Linked DNA regions of Macaca mulatta. The protein of the gene in region 1 binds, or shares a complex with, the protein of each later gene. Links are inferred from orthologs where the notes say so. Each region holds a gene or a part of one and is shown on either strand. Other genes may lie near its edges.

What was found. Proteins that work in one complex are often made in the same cells at the same time.
Region 2: RBMX2 (region 1) and CRIPT share a complex: the UniProt entries of both Homo sapiens proteins name them as parts of the minor spliceosome. The link is inferred for Macaca mulatta from reciprocal best matches to the Homo sapiens genes RBMX2 and CRIPT.
Region 3: RBMX2 (region 1) and CWC15 share a complex: the UniProt entries of both Homo sapiens proteins name them as parts of the minor spliceosome. The link is inferred for Macaca mulatta from reciprocal best matches to the Homo sapiens genes RBMX2 and CWC15.

Annotation. Positions count from the first base shown.
Region 1 is NC_133426.1:136,863,044-136,867,844, forward strand, and holds the start of RBMX2 (RNA-binding motif protein, X-linked 2), read left to right. Parts: upstream 1-1,820; 5' UTR 1,821-1,835; coding exon 1,836-1,840; intron 1,841-2,051; coding exon 2,052-2,167; intron 2,168-3,619; coding exon 3,620-3,671; intron 3,672-4,801. UniProt on the Homo sapiens protein: Involved in pre-mRNA splicing as component of the activated spliceosome. As a component of the minor spliceosome, involved in the splicing of U12-type introns in pre-mRNAs.
Region 2 is NC_133418.1:78,216,151-78,220,634, reverse strand, and holds the start of CRIPT (cysteine-rich PDZ-binding protein), read left to right. Parts: upstream 1-1,310; 5' UTR 1,311-1,388; coding exon 1,389-1,404; intron 1,405-2,871; coding exon 2,872-2,937; intron 2,938-3,730; coding exon 3,731-3,785; intron 3,786-4,484. UniProt on the Homo sapiens protein: As a component of the minor spliceosome, involved in the splicing of U12-type introns in pre-mRNAs. Involved in the cytoskeletal anchoring of DLG4 in excitatory synapses.
Region 3 is NC_133419.1:95,762,362-95,766,863, reverse strand, and holds the start of CWC15 (spliceosome-associated protein CWC15 homolog), read left to right. Parts: upstream 1-1,328; 5' UTR 1,329-1,421; exon of another isoform or gene 1,422-1,440; intron 1,441-2,747; 5' UTR 2,748-2,755; coding exon 2,756-2,886; intron 2,887-3,772; coding exon 3,773-3,885; intron 3,886-4,194; coding exon 4,195-4,283; intron 4,284-4,502. UniProt on the Homo sapiens protein: Involved in pre-mRNA splicing as component of the spliceosome. Component of the PRP19-CDC5L complex that forms an integral part of the spliceosome and is required for activating pre-mRNA splicing.

The sequences.
Region 1 (4,801 bases):
TCTGTCACTGTTTAGCTTTCATTGCCAAGATAATTTTACAAAGTTAATGAATAGCTAGGTTGGAATGGGGAAGGGGGAACAGACATAGAATGAATGAGGAGAAACTGTCATTGGTGGGCAGGCTCTGTTCTCCTTTTTGGCAGGACATTGGTTACATGGTGGGCCACTTGAGGGTACAGTTGGTATCGTCATCAAAATGTTTTTATGAAGGACCTAATATCTGGTGCTCTGAGATAGGCCACACAGCTCTGGACTTTTACTTTTAGAACATCATGGTCCAAGAGCAGGTACTGATGTGGACATGTGCAAAATGGATTCAAACTGTCAATATGGGTTAAATCACATATTATATGTTAATCATCTCTTCCACTGGTTTCTAGATATTTCTGGTTGAAATCTATCAGGCAAATATATCTTGTCCCCTTAATTATAATATTAGCTCCTTGAGGGCAGAGGACCCACCCTGATACTCCTGTCTACAGACCTTAGCTGCACAGGACAAATCTAGATGTTCAGTAAGGACTGATTGAATCAACCTGACCTACTGGGTGCAGGTACTCTAGTACCTTTCTAGTTAATTTATTCATTTGAGCCTCATTTCTTCCTCTACAAAACGAGGGTGGAAATTTCTTTTACTTTCTCTTTCTTTTTTTTTTAAAACAAGGAGTCTCGCTCTGCTGCCCAGGGTGGAGTGCAGTGGTGCGATCTCAGCTCACTGCAACCTTTGCCTCCCAGGTTCAAGTGATTCTCCTGCCCCAGCCTCCCGAGTAGCTGGGATTACAGGCGTGTGCCACCATGCCTAGCTAATTTTTGTATTTTTAGAGGAGACAGAGTTTCACCATGTTGGCTGGGTAGGTCTTGAACTCCTGACCTCAGGTGATCCACCTGCCTTAGCCTCCCAAAGTGTTGGGATGACAGGTGTGAGCCACCACACCTGGCCCCCCCCTTTTTCCTTTATTTTAGAGACAGGTTCTGCTATGTTGCCCAGGCTGGTCTCAAACTCCTGAGTTCAAGCAATCCTCCTACCTCAGCTTCCCAAAGTGCTGGGATTACAGGCATGAGCTGCTGCGCCCGGCCAGGAATTGTAATTTTATCTGCTTCATTGGGTTGTTGTGAGGGTGGAGAGACAATACATGTAAATTGCTTAGCACATACTCTAGTATCATACAGTACATCATCTGCTCACTTGCTAGCTATTAATTTAACAATATTAATTTCTGTCTCCTGCTCAACTAGGAGAGAGCCTATGGAAAAGAGTAAGTGCAGCGGCTCTCATGCAAATCTGTAGGTATTCAATTCAGCCTATAGAGGCACACTGGTCTGTTGCCTATGTATTGGGATAAGAACAACAGAAGATTTACCTTTTCACCTATCTTCTTCACTTTTCTGCCATGACAGGGATGCTTTGATGGGTCTGTGCGTGAGCAACTGACTAGGAGCGAAGGTCCAAGTGGGACTCTGGACTGGGAGCGAGGGCTGAGACTAAAGTCGCCACATCAGGCTGCTTATTCCGTTCATTCAGCAAATATTTATAGCTAATCTAACCAGTTTCCGATATCGTTCAAGAGCTGGGGGTCCTGCAACAGCCCAGGCTCGTGCCTTTACCCCATTTCACAGAGGAGAAAAAGCGAAAAATTAGAGAAAAACCGTTTCTACAAGAGGTAACTGCAAAGAACGCGGAAGGCTTCTAGTGCGCAGGCGCCACGCCCCGGTACGCCCCAGCTCTTCCGGCGCGAGGTCACCGACTCGACGAGCCACCGGCGCCGGGGCCGCGCATGCGTGGCGCTGCCTTTCCCGGGCGCTGATTCCTGAATGCTGAGCGCGAGCCCGCGGAGATGAAGTAAGGCGTCAGCTTCCTTTTGAGGAACGAGCAGCGGGCCGCTGAGGGTGGTCTACCGGGGCTGGGGTGGTAGAGCGTCTGCGGGGTCGAGGGGCGGGAGAGGCGCGGGGACTAGCACAGCTCGTCCCCTTGTTTTGCTCTTCTTCAGCTTCGGCCGGTTAGCATTTACTTGTCTGCTTTTCTGCCTCCCCTCCCCCCCGCCACCGTGAAGTCCTTTAACTAAGGTGAAGCTGATCAACGAGCTGAATGAACGAGAGGTCCAGCTTGGGGTGGCCGATAAAGTGTCCTGGCACTCCGAGTACAAGGACAGCGCCTGGATCTTCCTGGGTGAGGTGCACATCTTTCTTCCGCAGTGCTCCCAAGATTCTCCTGCTCGGTGTCCGACTATTTCAGCATTTTCACCCTTCACTCCTGCTTACATTCATTGCCCTCCTTTATATCCATCTGCTGTCTGCCCGGGAATCCGTGTTCCATCTTTTTTTTTTTTTTTTTTTTTTCTGCCCCATTTTTAGTTTTCCTTCCCAGCCAAATCAGTGCTCATGAGAGTTACTGTTTGCCATTTGCTGTGCTAAGGTTCAGGGACTGTTGTTATTTCTCTCTCACCCCCTGACCCGTTATTACAGCTGAGGAAATTGGGGTGCAGAGAAGTTAAGGGACTTCCTTAAGGTCACATAGCTAATAACCGCAACAGGCAGAACTATAGCTTTCTAGAACTCATGGTCTTAGCCACAGCCCCATATTGCTACCACCGCCCTCCCCCATTCCCCTTCCCTTGCAGAATTCACTTTGCTCCTCTAGCTCCTGCTTTCTGACCATGGCCACACTACCATTACTGTATTCACTTTATATCACAACCAGTAATTGTACAAGTTTGATGCTTCAAAGAGGTTATTGTAAAAACGTTGTGCTAAGCACTTTATATGCATCGTTTTATTTAACTCTTATAACAGTCTTGCGAGTTACCTGCTAATATCCCCATCTTACAGATGAGGAAAGAAACATTTGGAAGGGAAATTATTCCCTAGGAAATGCTTAACAGTGTCTTTATAACCTTTGTCTATGTGTAGGTGGGGTTAATCATGACATATGTAGACTAATTTTGTATCATAGCTGTAAATTTGTGGGTAATGAGCAGATGAATTCAACATGTTTGTGGAAGCAGAGGTTTGTGATGGAAACTATCTGCTTTGCCCATAGGATTTTGGGTGCCAGGAGGACTGAGTGATCAGTTTACTTTTGTTAGTGGTGACACTGACTTCCACTCAAAATTAGTCACTCCTTTTCCTGTTCTACTGGCACCTTACATGTACTTCTGTCATTGCATCAGACTTGATTTCTTTCTTTCTTTTTTTTTTTTTTTTTTTGAGTTGGAGTTTCACTCTTGTTGTCCAGGCTGGAGTGCAGTGACGTGATCTCGGCTCACTACAACCTCTGCCTCCTGGGTTCAAGCGAGTCTCCTGCTTAAGCCTCCTGAGTAGCTGGGATTACAGGTGCCCGCCACCTCGCCCGGCTAATTTTTTTTGTAGTTTTAGTAGAGACGGGGTTTCGCCATGTTGACCAGGCTGGTCTCGAACTCCTGACCTCAGGTGATCCACCCGCCTTGGCCTCCCAAAGTGCTGGGATTACAGGCGTGAGCCATGGTGCCCAGCCCAGACTTGATTTCTTTAAGGGCAGGGCCTGTTGCTTACTGTTTGCACCCCTAGTGCCTGGCCTAGTGCATGGTACGTAGTAAACACTTGGTAAATGTTGGTGGAACTGAAATGTGGTTTTCTTTTCTAGGAGGGCTTCCTTATGAACTGACTGAAGGGGACATCATCTGTGTGTTCTCACAGTAAGTCCCCTTTCATTTCCTGCCTCCTGAGTCGACAGAGTACTTTTTTCTGTAATGCATTTTGTGGCATCACAAAAACCACTTATTTTCACTCTAGGCTGAATGGCGTCCCTGCATGGGGAGGGCTGGAGCTTCTGCTCTAGTCTAGATCAGTCCCAGGACATGGTTCTAGAATGTTCTCCTGTGGGAGATCCAAGAGGTTTGTTAATTTGGGAGGCCATCTTGGGGATTCTAGTCTATTTCTGTTGTTTTTCACTGAGGTTTGTTCAGCCTGGGCCTAGACTGGAACAGACTGGAACCCTCAGGAAGGTTCCATATTGGTACGCCTCCTTGGGCTCTTGCAAACTAGGGGTAACCCATGGTCACAGGGCCCTTCTGGTCCTTGCCTGTGTGGCATCATACGACTGGGGCAAACCACAGAGGAATTGGGATGAAAAACAGAAAGAAGGTTGTAGTTTGCTTTCTTTGATTCTCAATGAATGTAAGGTTAGTGAGCAAAGCCAATCTCTACCTGGAGGCTGAGAATCACAGCCTGACGAGGAACAAGAATGAATAGGAGATCTGTATATTCTTCATTCTGCTGAGGTGTTGGCAGCAGCATTTGGTGGGAGAGGGTGTTGGTGGCTCATACTGGTAGTAGCAGCTAGTAGGAGAGGGGCTGGGCAGCTGGCCTGCAACCCCAGAGGTAAACAGCACAGTTAGTCCACAGGGCCAGAGGATCTTGGCACAGGTGCAAAGGACCACTACATTTGGGTTTTGTAGGCCTTCAGAGCATAGTACTGTTTCAGAGAAGTTGGACAGCATGTACAGGTAGCAGACCATGGCAAAAGGGGCTGGCCAAGCAAACACAGGTAGCATACACTGGCAGAGGGATTGCTATGGCAGGATGGTAGGGCCATCCATGGACAGAGGGCCCTGGCTGAGTGGTTGGGCCACTTATGGGGCAGCAAGCCATGGGAAAGGAATTGGGCAATACCCGTGAGAAGAAGGCTGTGATAGAGAACCTGGGCAACCCACACGAGTGGAGGGCCCTGGCAGGGACAAAGATTGCTTCCTTCAACTTGTGGATGTTGCAAGGTTCACAGCAGGTGCAGCCTATAATTTCTACCCCTTTGTGTACTTCTACTCAG
Region 2 (4,484 bases), on another chromosome or scaffold:
ACTTTATTAATTTAAAGTAACAGTCAATATGTTACACTATGGAGAATATTCCAGAAAATAGAAATATCTCAGAAAAAAAATACTATACATACACACACACACACACACACATACACGTGGGCGCGCGCGCGGGAGGGGCGCCCGCTAGTGCGAAAAGCAGAAGGGCGAACCTGGGCCTTATCCTAATAGCTCTCATTTAATTCACCCAGTGCTTTTCAAAGGCAGATATTTTACTGATAAGGAAACAAGGCAAACAGGTGAGGTGGTCCAAGGTCCCACGCGCTACAGCTCTCTCTCTAAGGAAATACACTAGGCATGAAGAAGCAAACGGATGGCAAGAAGGGACAAAGGTAAACTTTCCCATAGATTCTCTTAAGCTGATTGAGGGAGGGCAAGGGGATCAGGAATCCATTCTCTCAACAGATAGCCCTTCAGCCATTTTTCTGAGCCACCCTCGGAATCGCAGCTGCCATCAGATGTGGATGTAATACAGTGAGCAGTTACCAAACTCAACCGTTTGCTGAGTGAATGAAGGAACCAAAGTAGGCAAAGTGGGAAACCAACTCTCCTGGGAAACCAGCACCGTGTTAGGCCCTGGCGTGCCCCCAGGGCGCCTGCAGGGGTGCCACGGGCATGACGCGGCCCACCTCCCCAGGCACCGCAGCGGAGAGAAGGCTCTTCAGAGCGGCCCCCAGAGGAGCCTTCACGGGCATCGCCGCACCTCCACCGGCAGCTCCACCCCAACCCTGGTCGCTGGGAATTCTGCCCGACCCTAGGCCGGCGCGAGCGTGGGCAGCGAGGAACCAGCTGAGAAGCAGGATCAAAGAGCTCGGGAGTTGGAGACAAAGAAAAACTGGGGGACAGAGGCAAAAACTCGGATCCGAAAGGGGGTCTGTCCATCAGGGCACGCCGGAAGAGTGGCGCTCGAGCTGACGGCGAGAGCGGGCGGGCCGGGGCGCCGAGGCTCAGGGCTGCTTCGGCAATTCGCGGGGGTGGCTTGCACCCCGGGAGGCGAGAGCGCCTGGGAAGTCCAGCGGGGCTTACCTAACTTTCCCGCCCGCGGAAGGGAAGCGGGGAACTACTGCCTCCCACCATCAGGTACGACAGGAGGCCCAGGCCCACGCGCAGACGCAGGGTTGTGGGGCGGACACCCACGGCCGAACAGCCAGTCGCAGAAAGGGAGGGGCGGGCAAATGGGGCAGCCCCACCTAGCCGCTCGCGTTCATTCCTCCCGCGGCTTTCCAGGTTTGGGGTAGGCGGGAGCGGTGGGCTTAGAAGCCGGAAGTGGATTGACGTAGCCCGGAAGGGGAATACTTCCCAGTTACAGTGTTGATGTTTTCAGGCTCCTGCTGCTCCTGTTGCGGCTAGGGGAACTGTCGTGGGGAAGGATGGTGTGCGAAAAATGTGAGTTAAGGGGCTGCTTCTGCGGGAGGAGGAGGCTGGGATAATCTAACTGAGCCCTCCCGGGAACTTTGCCTTCTCTTTGTTTTTTTCGCCCACAGGTCTCTGATTCTAGCCGCTGTCTTTCTACCCTACCCTTTGACCATTTTTGCACCTCCCCAACGACCATACAGTCCTATGTATTTTGTACTCAGAATGGTCTCAGTTCTGCACCTCCCTCTCTATTTCCATTGCCTTCCCCCAGCCCCAGATCTCATCGGCTCCCCTCCCATATAAAAATGTTCAGTTAAACCCCAGCGACACCTTTCCCTCTTGGCAATTCCTGTCCTTTCCTTTTTATTCGTGTAACAAGTATTGTACTCCTGCCAAATGTTAAACACTGGAACCAAAGACTTAGGACTTTGCCTTATTCATTCTCATTAGTCATTATGCCAGGATATGGCGTAGAGTAAACCCAGAGATGTTTGAATTGAACATCAACGTAAGTGCAAATTATTATTTCCCTAATTTAAATCCTTTAATAAACTCTCAGTGTGCAGAGAATAATTTGGGGATTCTATATTTGGAACCTGACGTTCAGTACCCTCCACACTAAGGCGCCAACTTATTTTTCCAGCTTCATTTTCACTGACCCTCATCCTCTTCACACTTTGACCAAACAAAATACTCTTTGTGCCCATGTGTACTCTAAGCTTTCTATGCCTTTCCTCAGAATGTGTCCTTTATCTAGTTTGCGTTCATCCTCTTTACTCCTTTTTGTTCACAGTCCTGTTGCCACATATTCAAATCCTCTCTCTTGCCTTCTCTCCAAACTTTGTTTTCTTGGATTTCCTTAGCCAGGGTTATTTTTTCCTGCCTGGAATTTCTCCCAGTACTTTAGTTCTCAATTATTATATCTTTTATTTTTTAGCTTACATTTTGTTTGAATGGTTCTTTTTGGGGGGACGGTCTCTGATCCCTCTGAGAATCTGATGAAAACTGTAGCCTCTTGCCAGGAAAAAAAACTGAAAATATAAAAGGTTTGTGTACAACTCCACCTTGTTCACATATCTCTTAAGATCCACCTGGGGAACCCAGGTTACAGATTGCTGTTAAAGAAATTAGTATACTATAATCTCATTAAAATTTTGTCTGATTCATCACTTTTTCTCAGCACTTTGTATAGTTTATACATCATAGATGCTTAGTAAATATTTATGGAACAAATAGACTTATTGGATTTTTTAAAAGTATAAACAAACAGTGAAAGCTTATTATAAGCCATCTTATTATCCTGCGAATTTTACCGACGGTCAGTCATTCATTGCCCACAGTTAATATGAGTCTCAGTTGACTGGCTGCTTTCTCAGCATTAACAGGCTCCTATGGTAATAGCATTGATAGTCGATACCATTGTGAGCCTTAGGCACAATGTAATGCACTTATGAAATAGTAAATTTTAATTTTCCTTTTACTATCTTGTTCTAACAGGTGAAAAGAAACTTGGTACTGTTATCACTCCAGATACATGGAAAGATGGTGCTAGGAATACCACAGGTATTTCTTCTTTTAGAAAATAGGAATTTAACCAAATACTTACTGTGAATTATATTTTAGCTTTTACATTATTTGTACAATGAAATGTTGTATGTTCAAAGTATTTTATCTATTAAATGTTAAAGAATACTGGGTCCCCAAGTGATTTAATATCTTTTATTTAGTTCTCAGTTACTTGTATGGGTTCCCAATATCAGGAGATAGCAAAATTATTAAATGATTGTCAAGTGGTGACAATATCACAGTATTTGATTATCACAGTATTTGATTTGATTCAGCTTATTTAGAGTCTGTTTTTAATTTCCCCACTCTTCTGAGGAGAAATTTTTTTAAATCTTCTGATTTTTATATTCTTGAATAAATAAATGCTTTAACCCATTTTACCTTCATTATCATTAAATCTTTATAATGAAGTATTTACCTTCATTATTATTAAATACATATAGTAAAGTATGTTTTCAAAGCGTAGACAAATAAACATTTTCATTATATTGAAGGTCTATGACACTGAAGTAGTGGCTTCTAGATTTTACACTATATAGAGTAAATATAGACCCATTCCTAAAGTACTCCCTTGAGTCTGAGAAATAAAATGATTGTATTTTATACAAATTTTTACTGTTTCCCTAATAAATGTTTTCTTTTTAAGCAGTGTCTTAATAGCCTACTAAATGAGGATTTAAAAATTAGATACAGACTACTATTTTGGTAGAAAGTCAAAGAATGAACTTCTTAATGTTTTATGTTAAATGTATAGAAATAACCCACTAAAATATCTTTTATTCTGATACAGAAAGTGGTGGGAGAAAGCTGAATGAAAATAAAGCTTTGACTTCAAAAAAAGCAAGGTGGGTAAGAGCATCCATAGACAGATCATATAAATTTCCTTTCTTTTAGTATTAAGTCTGCTGGAGTGAATTTGATGTGCATCATTCCATTTGCAATAAAACATAAAGGTAGGTGGTTCATAGCACTCAGAACCAAGCTATCTGTTACAATCCTGCTGGTTTTACCTTATTCCTCCTTGGCTGTATCAATATATGAAGATATTAGTGTTATTCTCTTACAGTTTCACCAGAAAACATGACTTGTATTTTATCTCCTTCTTAATTATCCTATGAATCAGAGACAGCAGGGAAATGTGGAAAGATGGTAAGCTTTGGAGTCAAACCTGAATTTGAGTCTAGACCCACTGTCTAGCCTTATGACCTTAAGCAAGTTAAGCAAGTTTCTTGACCTTTCTAAACTTTACTTTTTCCTGAGAATTGGGGTAAAAATGTCTCCCATCTTAAAAACAAGTTTTTGATACCATACTTTATTAGATCCAGTCTTAAAAATTCTGCTGGGTATGGTGACTCACACTTGTAATCTCAGCACTTTGGGAAGCCAAGGCAGAAAGATTACCTGAGCCCAGGGGTTTGAGACCAGCCTGGGCAACATGGTGAAACCCTGTCCTTACAAAAAATGGAAAAATCAGGTGGGTGTGGCAGCACGTGCCTGTAGTCCCAGCTACTCAGGAGGCTGACATGGGAGGATCACTTGAGCCC
Region 3 (4,502 bases), on another chromosome or scaffold:
GATTAATTTTAAAAGATCACTCTCTTGGCTATATGCAGCATTGACTGTAGGATAAAAGATGACGCAGGAAGATACAATAGGAAACAATTACAATCCAGGTAGGAGATGGTGTTGGCCAGGACAAGGGTAATGGCAGTAGAATAAAATTTCGGGTAAGTTTTAAAAGTAGAATTGGTAAGACCTGTAAATGAACCGTATGTGAAAAGTGAAAGAAAAGGAATTTAAGTAGGCACTCTGGGATTTTGGTTTGAGTAACTAGTATGATGATCGTGTCCTTTAGTGAGACGTGTAAGACTGGAGGAGGGATACCTTTAGTAAGAAAAATCAAGATTTTCATCTTGAACTCTATGAGTGAAAGGGCTTTTTCTGCTTTTCTTTCTTCATTTAAAAGTTGCAAAGAATTTAGAGGTAAGAAAGCATTTAAATATTCAACTTTGTGAGTTCTTTATATTTTAAACTAAGTTGGGGAAGTTGAATTTTCATTTGTTTAACAAATATTAATTGAGCAGCTACTATATGTCAAGGTCTATGTGATGAGATACTAAGATTAGCTAAACAATCAAGATCTCTGTTCTCAGGATTTTTTTTTATGGAAGGGAGGAGACAGGATTGGTGGGTTTTTGGTTTTTGGGTTTTCTCCTTTTCGTTCTTATTAAAACTTAACACTTAAGTAGCCATCTTAGTAATTACATCTTGTGCTCCTGGCAGTTGGGCCCACCGTTCTAAACGCTGTCGTAAATATTGACATCTCCCCTCCCACTAAAACTAACGTTTTTTAAATAAAAAATTTTAGCAAACATTACGAATACAACCTTTGCTTTGAAGTGTTAATATTTTTGCAGGAATGTACCTTTGTAAAGATCGTGGTTGCCCCGTACATATTTGTTCTTTCTTCATATCCAATTAAATGAAAACACTAGTTTTTCCGAAGCCCAACTCTCTAGGTTTGTTGGTTCTAGCTCAGGAGAAAGGATGGAAGCAGGAGTCGTTGGATTTAAACAGTTTGGTGTAATCCTTTTCCACGCTCTCTCCCGCTAGCCGGGGACGTGGTGTCGGCTACCCGGGGCTTTCCGTCCACGCAGTACCGGAATGAAGGAGTCTGGGAGGGGGTCGGGGACGGAAAAGACGGAAGAGACATTAAGTAATTGGTTCTTGAAGGTATAAAATGATATTTAGGGTCTACTCTAAGGCACTGATTTCAAACGCCCGCCCCCTGGGCCGTTTCGGCCCCGCCCCTTAGTGCCGTTACGCCGACTTCCACTTCGGCCACTGCGGATTGGTCGTTGCTTCCGCCTCCGAAGCGCTTGGATTTTGCTTCCGGGTCGTAGGCGCTAGCCCTGGGCGCAGAGGTTTCTGGGAGCCCGGAGTCGTAATGGCGTCTGTATGATCTTCGGAGATTGCTGCATCGGACCTCGGCCAGTGTGAGCGGCAGGAGGATAGGTTATCTTCCTCATCCCGGTGGGACGGGAAAGGGCAGTTGGGGTCGGAGTCGGCGGCAGAGTGCAGAGTGCGGGCGGTGGAGGACCTAGAGCAGCGGGCTAGGGGCGAAACGGAGTGCCTGTCAGGCGCGTCCGGAGCTCTCGGGCCGCAGAGGAGATCGCAGCATAAAAGGCAGCGCGCCTACCGCGTAAAGCGAACCCCAGGTCCTCCTTTCACTACCCCTCGCACCCCTGCGGCGCTGGGCACGGGTTAAGGGGCAACGAGTTTCTGGTTATAGCCAAAGACTAGCTCACGAGAGGCCGGAGTGATAATTCCGTTAGTGTGTGGGAAGGGGCGGACTCCCAGCTCCAGATAACCCCGTTTCTTCTTTGTATACATGTCTCTTACTCTTTTTGAAAATTAGGAGAAAGCACTCCCCCCCCCCAAAAAAATCCTCCCAGTTCGCCCACCCTCCCCACACACTTGCTTTTCCGACACTAACAGGGTTTTAATGACTGCATCTGCTAGGCAGTATTCTTGTGACTGCTCCAAGCAGAAAGTAACTTAAGGAATGGGTCCCTGATTTTTGTCATCAGAATCCTCTGGGGCTGAGGTTCCTGTTTTGTTTTTGTTTTTGTTTTTTTTGAACAGTCCTTAAGTTATAACCCACAAACGATCTGATTTATAATATGATGCCTGTTGTAGGAGAAAATTGGCTCAACAAAAGGTTAAGAATTTTTTTCTATGTACCTGTCATTGAAGTTTAACACACTTTCCTTAGTAACTTTTTTCTCAGACACTTAGTAACTTTGTCAGTGATATTTTTTGTTTGTTTTTAGCTTTTGTTTCTACTAGCCTATTTGCTATTGTGTGAAGTTTAGATAAAATGCAAACCTTAGAGAGTCTGGTAGAGTAAGGTTGAGTTGGAAATTTTTAAAACTTAGTCATGGTGGTACTGTATTTTTCAAGGCTTTTGACATGTCAAGTGTCATAATTCTTATAGTAATCCTATGAGGAATATCTCCATTCCACGGATGACAGAAAGTTAAGCCAGGTGACTTGCTCAAGCCCATATAGTCAGAAGGAGAATAGGGATGCAAACTCAGATCTTCATGACAGAATTTTTTGTACTAAGACAAGCCTGAGAAGCCCTATTCGTTGTATGGCCTAAGCCTCATAATTTGTTTTCCTGAAAACTTTTGTTTAAGAAGATTAAGCAGGTTTAGGGGAATGAGTTTTAGAATTTATTTCACTAGTATGGATATTAATACTCTGTAAAATGAGTGTTTGTATTGTTGTAAATAACTTGATTATATTTTTCTTCAAAGCATAAAAGATGACAACAGCAGCCAGGCCAACCTTTGAACCTGCAAGAGGTGGAAGGGGAAAAGGAGAAGGTGATTTGAGCCAACTTTCAAAGCAGTATTCAAGCAGAGACCTACCCTCTCACACAAAGATAAAATACAGGTAGTAAGACTTTCTTTTTTTTCTTTCTTTTTTTTTTTTGTTGAGACAGAGTCTCGCTTTGTCGCCCAGACTGGAGTGCAGTGGCCGGATCTCAGCCCACTGCAAGCTCCACCTCCTGGGTTCACGCCATTCTCCTGCCTCAGCCTCCCGAGTAGCTGGGACTACAGACGCCGGCCACCTGCCCCGGCTAGGTTTTTGTATTTTTTAGTAGAGACGGGGTTTCACCGTGTTAGCCAGGATGGTCTCGATCTCCTGACCTTGTGATCTGCCCATCTCGGCCTCCCAAAGTGCTGGGATTACAGGCTTGAGCCACCGCGCCCAGCCTCTTTTTTTTCTTGTTCACAAAACAAGACCAAATCTGTTAAATGGCATGGTCATGATATAGTAGTATGTTCGAGTTATGTCACTTATCTATTATCATAGGATTAGAATGCAATAGGATGTTTAACACTAAAATTCTGCCCTGTGGTTTTAAAATGCAAAATTCCTACTAACCAGAAATTTTCGTATGTAGATACAACAATAAATAACAGAAATAATAATGCCTCAGAGAGATTATGCACTATCAGCACCAGTCAATATATTAAAAGTATTACTGTTAAGTTCTGAGTTGATAATACCAATAAAAATTAAAGACATTTTAATCACGTAAAGCCTTATTATAGGAAAATGCGTGATTGAATTTGGACTTCTTGAAATATTGGGAACATCACAAGAGTGGCTGTTAGTAACTTTCAGATTAGATTATGATCTTATCTACTTCCCTTTTTTATGCTTGAAGGACAAAGTCTCATTCCTGAATTGTCTTCCATTACCACAGTCGTGTGTGTGTGTATGTGTGTGTGTGTTTAAGTACCATTTTTGCCCTGGTTTGTTTCTACTTTAGACAAACTACTCAGGATGCCCCTGAAGAGGTTCGTAACCGTGACTTCAGGAGAGAGTTGGAAGAAAGAGAGAGAGCTGCTGCAAGAGAGAAAAACAGAGATCGTCCAACCCGAGGTACCAACACTATCCAAGACATTTATCTCTAAAATTATGTTGTTGATAGTTTTTCTTTTATGTAGCAACTGGAAAATATTAACCATTTGTTTGCTTTTACAGATTGATGTGAGCTGTAATACTTTCTTAAGTCATTAGAGATAACAATAACAAATATTTACCAAAGGCTTATTTGCCCAGGCACTGTGGATGTGATTTCACTGTGGATAATGCTTTCAGTGTGGGCTCCTCGTGCCCACAGGTCCCTAAAACATTTTAAGAAATGCAGTATTTGTTTTACTAAGTTAAGTGATTTTTGTTTCCCCTCAGAACATACAACCTCCTCTTCAGTGTCAAAAAAGCCACGGTTAGACCAGATTCCTGCTGCCAACCTTGATGCAGATGACCCTCTAACAGATGTATGTTTTGTTTTCTCCTTTCATCTCTAATAATTGATTTACCATGTTTTTCTGAAATACTTGTTATGCCTTTGGCTTTAAGAAGTGACATATATTTGCTTGCTGTTATTCAAATATAACCCTGACCTCAGTGCTAAACTTTATAGTTGATTTTAAAACAAAAAGTATTATTTTGTGGGACTTTTAAGAACAAGTTTGGTCTCTAGAGAACCAAATATG